Tribolium castaneum: one gene and its partner. The protein of the gene in region 1 purifies or fractionates together with the protein of each later gene. This does not show direct contact. Links are inferred from orthologs where the notes say so. Each region holds a gene or a part of one and is shown on either strand. Other genes may lie near its edges.

Region 1 (3,824 bases):
GAAACTGATTGCATCTAACGCTCTGACACTTGCTTGTATTGTTTAGGTTCTACTCGAAATACGAGGAACTGCATGCACGCATTAAGAAATATAGAAATAGCAATGACATTATTCCTTATTCGACTAGACCTCATTCCGACATTATCCCAAATTCCTATTCAACTTCTCAGCAGCATTACAGGTATGCACGTGTTGTTGTCGTCTTCAATTTTTTTTATTATAAAGCGATGGTTTTTTAACCAAAGGGCAAATATTAACAATTAATCCAACAATTAATGCTTGATGACCATCGCTTTATAATAATTCGTTGTTGAGATGTATTTAGTGCTTTTTTACGATTGTGTAGGAGATTAAATGTCTGCACAAGTGTTTCGTCACGATTTATTAGCATTTGCATGAAAAACTTCTCTTGATAAATATTGAAATAAATTTTCTGATAATCTAAAATATTACAACTGATTATGAAAGTTTATCACTTGTAACAAATCAAACAACTTCACTTTTTTGTGACAAGTCATTAGTTTTACAACTTGGGAATTATTAATTAATTAAAAGTCGTTTCAAATTGTTACGAGCAGTCAGAATTACAACCAAAAAAAAGTTATCTGTTCTAAGGCGAAAGTCACCAGATGCCAGTAATTGTTATTTTTATATTTTTCAAAAACTGTCTGATGGTGAGGCTGGTCAAGTCATTAAAAAAAAATACTATTTCAATAGTTTTTCATTAATATTGGCAATATTTTTTGTCGCTAAAGTTTCAGACCAATACCAAATCAGGTGGTAACGTAACAATTTGGAACGAGTTTTATTTACATTTTTTATTCATACGAAATAGAATAAATAATAAATGCATTTTTATTGAACAAATTCCTTGTTTATTCCTTCTAGAAGTTTGAAAGAAGACAGCAACGAAAATAACAGTACATCATCAACGAAAACATCACCGGTTATGAGTCCAGTATCTAATAATCAACCACTTCGAAGGTAAGCGTTTAGAAAAAACTAAGAAATATCGGATTTAGGCTTAATGTGTTGTCAGTTCGTAAATTTATTTTGTCAATTCTTTCATTAGCGGTTTAAAATTGCCAATTGGCACAAATCAACCTGTCACAACCACTAGCACTCCAACAACTCCTACAACACCTGGTGGCAATAGACTTCAAATGTTTAAAAACTTCTTCAAGTATGATACTGTTTTAACCGAGTTTGTGTGACGTTGCTTACTAAATGTTTGACTTGAGTTTCGCCAATTTTTACTTTTTCTTAAAGTTGAGCTTTGTTTGATTAATTTTTTTCCAAAGGTCGTTTGTGCCACCCGTTCGTGACGAAGAAAGTGAAACGCAACGCAAAGCTCATGCGAAACGTGTTCGTGAGACGAGGCGTTCGACTCAAGGTGTAACATTGGAGGAGATAAAATCGGCTGAACAATTCGTTAAAAAGAAGAATCAACCGAATTGCAATAACAACAATAACGAGCAAGTAAGTCGTGACTTCATTTTTCAGTTTTATGGCTTATTCATCCGGGAGTGGTGAATAATTCTTGTAATAATTTTTTTCCATTCATTTAATAAATCATATGTAATGTGTACTAACAGTCTGGAGCTAACGGGGATTCCCCTAACGGAGTGAGTGTGACCGCTACAATAACCACTGCGGCACCTACTGTTATAACACGTGATACTGAAGAACCCAGTATTACTCATGAGCGTAGGCCGTCGTGGAGGCTGAAAATTGACAGTAGTAGTAAGGTGAGTTTTTAGGTGTTGTGAAAGTCACTGTGGAGCCGCAAATGGATGATTTTTTTATCACTTCTTCTTCGCTTTTTTCTTCTTTTTTTTTAATGATTGAAACATGCAAAATTACCAAAGGAGGAGGTTCTTGATAATACGTGTACCGCTTTTGGTTAAACTTTCAAAAGTTACATTTGAAATGTGAATGAAAAATTGATTAGAACATAGTATTAAATTTTGCTAAAATTAATTTTTGTCATATTAGCACGTTTTTCATAAAAAAAACGCAATTATTCGAAAATTATCCAAAAAATAATAATTCGAATTTAGGCGAAAATCGAGTTATTTTTGCTTTTTTTTAAACTTATTTTGAACTCAAAACTCAGTTTAAAAATTCACTAGGCTAAATCAAAAATGACATTATTTTGGCGACATATCTGGAAAAATTGTTGCCCAAAAATGTGAAATTTCGATTAAAGTAAACCACAAAATCGCCGAAATGGGTGCACAATTTTTCAATTAGACAATTCTATCGTTCTATAATAGTAAGTGCCATTCTAAACAATGAACCAAAGAAATTATATTTCTCACAGCGACTTAATATTAATTAATTCATTTCCAATATAAAGACTTGAAAAAAATTGATGAATTCTGTATGAATTGAGATACATGTTTCTAGGTCGTATTATCTGAATTTTTAAATTCTTCTTTATTTAATTAAGCAAAATTTAGTGCTAAAACTTAGTCTTTGTATTTGGACTTTTTTGGCCTGTCTATTAATTAGACCTTTGATTAAAATTTAAACTTGTGAAATAAGAATTTAAAAGTGGAATCTTCTTTTTTTGTTTTTTTTTTTGGATTACGAACTTATTGGCAGGTAATTATGTGTGTTGGTTTTGATTGCTTATTAACATCGGTTTACTTCGTTAATTTAGTGAATATCAATCCTTACTGTAGTCATTTTTTTTCAGATTTGCGTTTTGGTTTTTCTTCTAAGCTTATACTTAATCTGTAACCCTATCCAACATATTTTGTACTTAACGTCACTTTTCTTGTATTATTACGTTAAGCATGCATGTTAGTGTGTAATGCTATTGTTTGTATTTAGTTGTAGCACAGCAAAAAATACTGATTTATCTGGAGTGTCATAATAATAACTAAACCGATCTCGTTACTAGTACCAAATGAAATTCTAATAAATGTTTATTGAATAATAACCGTTGTGTTTAATAATTTTTTGGGGTCTATATAGTTTAACAACACGGGGTTTGGGCATAAATGTGTGCACGCTAATACTTTTTGTTGGATGTAGTTTAAACTGGAAGATGCAACGAAATCCTCTGAACCACCAAGCACTCCGTCCTTTGTCCGTCGCACCGTCACACAAAATACCACCACGAATCCTAGACCGTCATCGGCACCGGTCGAAACGGCCGAAACTACGGTCACGTTACCATTGAGAAGACCAAAAACTCAAGATGAAAAAGGTACGATAAAAAAAAATTGGACGAATTTTAACCGATTTTTACACAGAACAAGACAAAGAAAATGACGTACGCAACGCTCAAGCCACTCTCGCCACACAGGCGGCCATCCAACGAAGAAGGAGGCCCAAGAGGAGGTCCACAGGGGTCGTCTCGTTTGAAAATATGGATGTGAGTGTGTGTAAAAAATCGCGATTTATATATCTAGGGAGCAAAGTGTATAATTTCCTCCCGTGGGCAAAGTTTGCAGCCCAACACGAAGCAGAGGGTTGTAATTACTCTCGTGACATATATATGATTTTTTTTTAATAACGACTTTTATCCATTTAGGATATGGATCAAGATAAGGATCCGTCAGGAGGTGGTGATTATGAAGATAGTACGAAATTAAATCACGAAGAGGTAAGCGATGTTTTTGCGTTCGATTAATTTGTTTATTTCGTTCATTTATTTTCGTTGGCAACGGTTCGAATCTAATTCGAATTTTTTTCTCAATACAAACGCACCTGAACGTTATTTTCTTAGTATTAGAAAAACCTTAATTATTTCGTAAGTGGGAGGTGATGAAAGGAGCAAGGTTGTGGAAGTTTCACTAAACATTATCTATATT
Region 2 (4,367 bases), on another chromosome or scaffold:
AGGAATCAACTCAATCAACTCAAATAATTTCAACAAAATTGACCTAAAGCCTACTTTACATTTTTGGCTGCGAGTTTTTTCGTTTTTAAGCAAGAAATCTACCAAACTAAAGTACTATTACCAACTGGTGCCCAATAGTCGTTTTTTTAACATTATAATAAAACGAATTTAAATTTTAACTGTCGAGTTTTGATATTTTTAAATACATAAAAATCAAATGATTTATTACTAAGATCTCTATTTTTTTGTGATACCCTTTTAAGTTGGAATTTATCGACACATTTCATTTGAGGAAACTTATTTTGTGACGAAAATTGTCCATAATTAAAAATATGAAAACTTTAGTTCAATCTGTTGTTTTTGATTGTTATGAATCACTAATTCCATGATTAAAAAAGATAGAAAAGATAATTAAAGTGATGATTAATTTAAACATTCACCCAAGCACCAATGTGTTGCATGATTAACAATTTAAATACATGCCGTCAATTTTCCCAAAATCGCAATAATTAATTTATTACGGACGGACATTCTAGACGAATGTGGCTAGTAAAAATATGTGAGTACTTTCGCAAGAACAAAAACATATGTTATAGGTGTTGGATTCATTTAAACACAAGTCTTTCATGAAAACAGGTAATTAAGCGGAAGTGTAGATAAAAATAAAAATAATGAAATACACGGACGGGACAAAAAATGCTAAGAAGCAATTTTATTACAACACGAAAATTTTCACAAAAATAAATAAAAGACACTTAACAATATTATCAAAAAGTGTACACTTGAAAGTTTGAATTAAATTTTAACAATTAATATTTTGTTGTCAGATTTAGAAAAATAATTTTTGGATTGTATTTCAGTTATAGGCTTAATATTCCGTCATTGCTTCCAATTTTTCACGCACGCATAAAATTCTTTAGCATTATTATTTTCTTTGAACGAACTTCGGTTCCAAACTAGTCTTTTTACAGAACGCAAAGCCGGCAAAAGCTAAAAGAAGCAAAGATTTGTTTTGTTCATTATAAAAAATGATATTTTGAAACGATTTTAATAATTTTTTTTATCAAAATAAATCATATCAAATTTTTTCTAAAATTTTTCTAAAATGCGTTAACCACATTTCGAAATTCTCTATAAATAAATGCCTGTATAATGTTTTTGTTTCAAAAAGAATATCTTTTATAATAAAATAAGATATGAATTTTTTGAGGTTTCGCTAAAATGAGAACTTTTGTTTCCGAGTTTAAAAGAAAAGACAATAGCGAGATGAGGTTTTGACCAAAACATGTCACTCGTTTTTGCATAAACCTCTTATTTTCCCAAATTTCTATAAATAACACCAATAATTTAGTGTTGCCAACTTAAGTTACTCGCTTCAGAAATGAAGCCCAACAGTAAAAAAGTCAATTTTATAAATAAAAAAAGGTACTGACCTGTGTCAGGTACATCGGTCGGGCGCATAATACGACGGATCTGCTCCATGCCTTGCAGGTCAGGACTGAGCCCCCCGTGACAGCAGAAAATTTTCTCGTCGATTATCGCAGCTATTGGCAAGCAGTTGAAGCAATCGGTGAAGGTTTTCCACAACTTGATGTTGTACCGTCTCTTGCCTGTAATTTTTTCTATAAAAAACACACACAAATTTGCGAGTTTAATGTTTACATTCGTCGTAAAATCCGTATATTCGGTTAATCGACGCGCATTCGTGGTTTCCTCTGAGGAGGAAGAAGTTTTCAGGATATTTAATTTTATAGGCCAGAAGCAGGCAGATGGTCTCTAGCGATTGTTTACCACGATCAACGTAGTCGCCAAGGAACAGGTAATTGGCTTCAGGAGGAAAGCCCCCATATTCAAAAAGACGGAGCAGATCTGTGTATTGGCCATGAATGTCCCCTGGAAGCTTAACTTGAAATTGAAAGTTTGGGGTGTTTGGAGGACCTACCGCAGATTTTTAAGGGAGCTTCCAGTTCCAAAAGTATGGGCTGTTGGAGGAAAATTTCTCGGGATTTTAAGCAAAGTCCGCGGACTTCCGCCTCGGACATTTGTACAGACTTTCCGGGACGACATCCTCGTACTGAGAACAAAGTTTTTAAAATACCCTTCTGTGTCTTTTGGTCAAAAACAATGCAAATCAAATCAAGTGGTTCTGTTAAGGCCGCATGATACCTCTAGATGAGTAAATTTGTAAAAAAAAGTGTAGAGCAAGCAAAACTGAACTGATAGATGTGTGCATCAAAATCTACTAAATCGGACGACCTTACTGTACTGTAATGAGAGTAACAAATATCTAAGCTAGACTGCTATTATAGATGTGACCTTACGTTCGGAAGATATGAACATATCTTTGAATTTAGATTTCTTCTTAACATCCTGGTTTTCTTGTAATTCTCGTAGAGTTTTATACCCTGTACCCACATCACACGAAAAGCAGCACAAAAATAAACACTCAAACTATTTATTTATACAAAACTCAACTAAAAAGTGTTAAAAAGCACTCAGTGTCTTAAATAACTCCCTCAATAGTATTTGTGCACTTTTAAAGTAATTATTTTGGCCGAGTAAGAGTCTATTTTGACTGGTCAAAAGTCACAACAACATTCGACCATGCACTTGTACTCTAGTAATCCCCAACTTCCTAATCTAACACATTTAAGCGGAAAATCATAATTAAATCGCTTTCTTACCTTCTAATAATCTTTGAATTAAATTGTCGACGTTTAGATCAGGCTCCGCCATTTTTATTTTCCACTAATAAATGAAAATTAGCGACAATCTTACCAACCCAACGATGCACTTCGTTCCTAAAAACGCACGCATGGCGCTTAGTTCAAACAAATTTATCCAACAAAACGCATTAACACGAATTTAAATAACCCAAACGACTTCTACGAGGAATTTTGTCACTTACAACCCTTCAGACGTCAAAGAACGTGTCAAAACCAAATTTTCGCCAAAATTCAAATCGTTAATTCCACAACTCGCAAAATTTCAACTTCAATACCTTATTTGCACACTGCGCAAATCTATTTTTACGTGGACGGACAAGAAGCGTAAGCCGGGATTTTAGACTTGTCAAACAAAAAAACACCCACTAAATTGATTTTTTGAAACATTGTTATGAGTGTCAAAAACAATTTCAAACAAAAACAACAATTGAAACGGTTTTATTCAATTGGGCAACAAAACTACATGTCCTTAAATTCTCCACTGCCACTAAGCAACAAAATATTCGGATTTTCCTTCTCAAACTCACTCGGCTCTCGCTCACGATCTTCCTTACCCCATTCACCCACTGACGACATCACATTCGGCTCTTTCTTTTTCTCTTTTTCTTCCCTCTACACAATAAAACCACATTTTATTAAAAACATTTATTCAAATTACCAGCGGGACAATAATTCAAAATTAATTGTTTTTCACCTGAGCATCCACTTTCGCAAATCTGTCAAACATATTAGCAAAAACCTTCTTCTCCTTCTCTAACTGTTCTTTGAGTGTTTTCACACAAAGGGCTTTCTGACTCTGTGCAGCTGTATTCCCTGGATCTAGCTTCAAACACTGCTGGAAATCTTCGGAAGCAAGCTTGGGCTCTCCTAGTTTTAGTAAAGCCTGACCTCTTCTAAACAAAGCTTTAACATTGTCTGGATCCATTTTCAAAGCGGCGGTAGCCGAGGCTTTAGCCTCGAAATTGTCGTCAATTTTCAAGTAACATAACGACAAATTCAGATGCGCAGCTAAATTTAACGACTCTATTTCTTTATCCAGTTCCGGATCTGAAAGCAATCACAAAATTAAATTTATGATTAGAGTGGACTATAACTCAGGAGACGAAACGAGATACAGAATCGCAAGATTTTCTGAACCCCAAAAAATGGTACGGCAAAGTTAATTTAAAATCCAACCAATTCGTCTAGCGGACTTTTTTGTAGACAAATTTAATTCTCTACAAATTTTTTCCTAACAAATTTCTGGCATCTATTATTGTGTTCATAGCGTTTTGAAAAATATAGAGCAGAGTGCGATTTGATAAAAGTTTGATTTTTTTTAAATATAGTTTACGGTAAAATTTTTGCATCATGTTTTTGTCACATTATTGAAAATTTAGTGCTCTATCTGCCTGTATTTTTTGTTTGTTATGTGTTAACAGTTATACAAATACAAGCATTTTTCAAATTTATTGCTTCGACAACTTGACTCTCTCTGGTGAGAGATCAAAAGCGAGATCGTTTTATTTGTACGTCGTTTCGTACCCTAACCTTTAGACATCCGTAGTACACACCTTTCTGAGATTCCAAATACTCAATAATTTTTTTGTACATTTTTATGGCTAGTTGAAATTTGTTAGCTTTAAAATAATTCGTTCCTTT

Evidence for each region.
Region 2: the proteins of Mbs (region 1) and serine/threonine-protein phosphatase PP1-beta catalytic subunit purify together in Drosophila melanogaster (affinity purification with mass spectrometry; 3 studies listed by BioGRID, with this or other methods). This does not show direct contact. The link is inferred for Tribolium castaneum from reciprocal best matches to the Drosophila melanogaster genes Mbs and flw.

The regions. Positions count from the first base shown.
Region 1 is NC_087394.1:37,244,494-37,248,317, forward strand, and holds part of Mbs (protein phosphatase 1 regulatory subunit 12B), read left to right. Parts: intron 1-46; coding exon 47-181; intron 182-888; coding exon 889-984; intron 985-1,072; coding exon 1,073-1,183; intron 1,184-1,301; coding exon 1,302-1,479; intron 1,480-1,595; coding exon 1,596-1,748; intron 1,749-3,042; coding exon 3,043-3,217; intron 3,218-3,263; coding exon 3,264-3,385; intron 3,386-3,544; coding exon 3,545-3,616; intron 3,617-3,824.
Region 2 is NC_087402.1:10,006,949-10,011,315, reverse strand, and holds the start of serine/threonine-protein phosphatase PP1-beta catalytic subunit, read right to left. Parts: upstream 3,040-4,367; 5' UTR 2,909-3,039; intron 2,895-2,908; exon of another isoform or gene 2,802-2,894; 5' UTR 2,737-2,801; coding exon 2,685-2,736; intron 2,406-2,684; coding exon 2,322-2,405; intron 2,075-2,321; coding exon 1,943-2,074; intron 1,894-1,942; coding exon 1,663-1,893; intron 1,611-1,662; coding exon 1,434-1,610; intron 1-1,433. Other genes in the region: Fkbp59 (FK506-binding protein 59), read right to left, coding at 3,186-3,338, 3,421-3,773, 4,280-4,367. UniProt on the Drosophila melanogaster protein: Required for cell adhesion in non-muscle tissues and in maintenance of muscle attachment. Vital for larval development.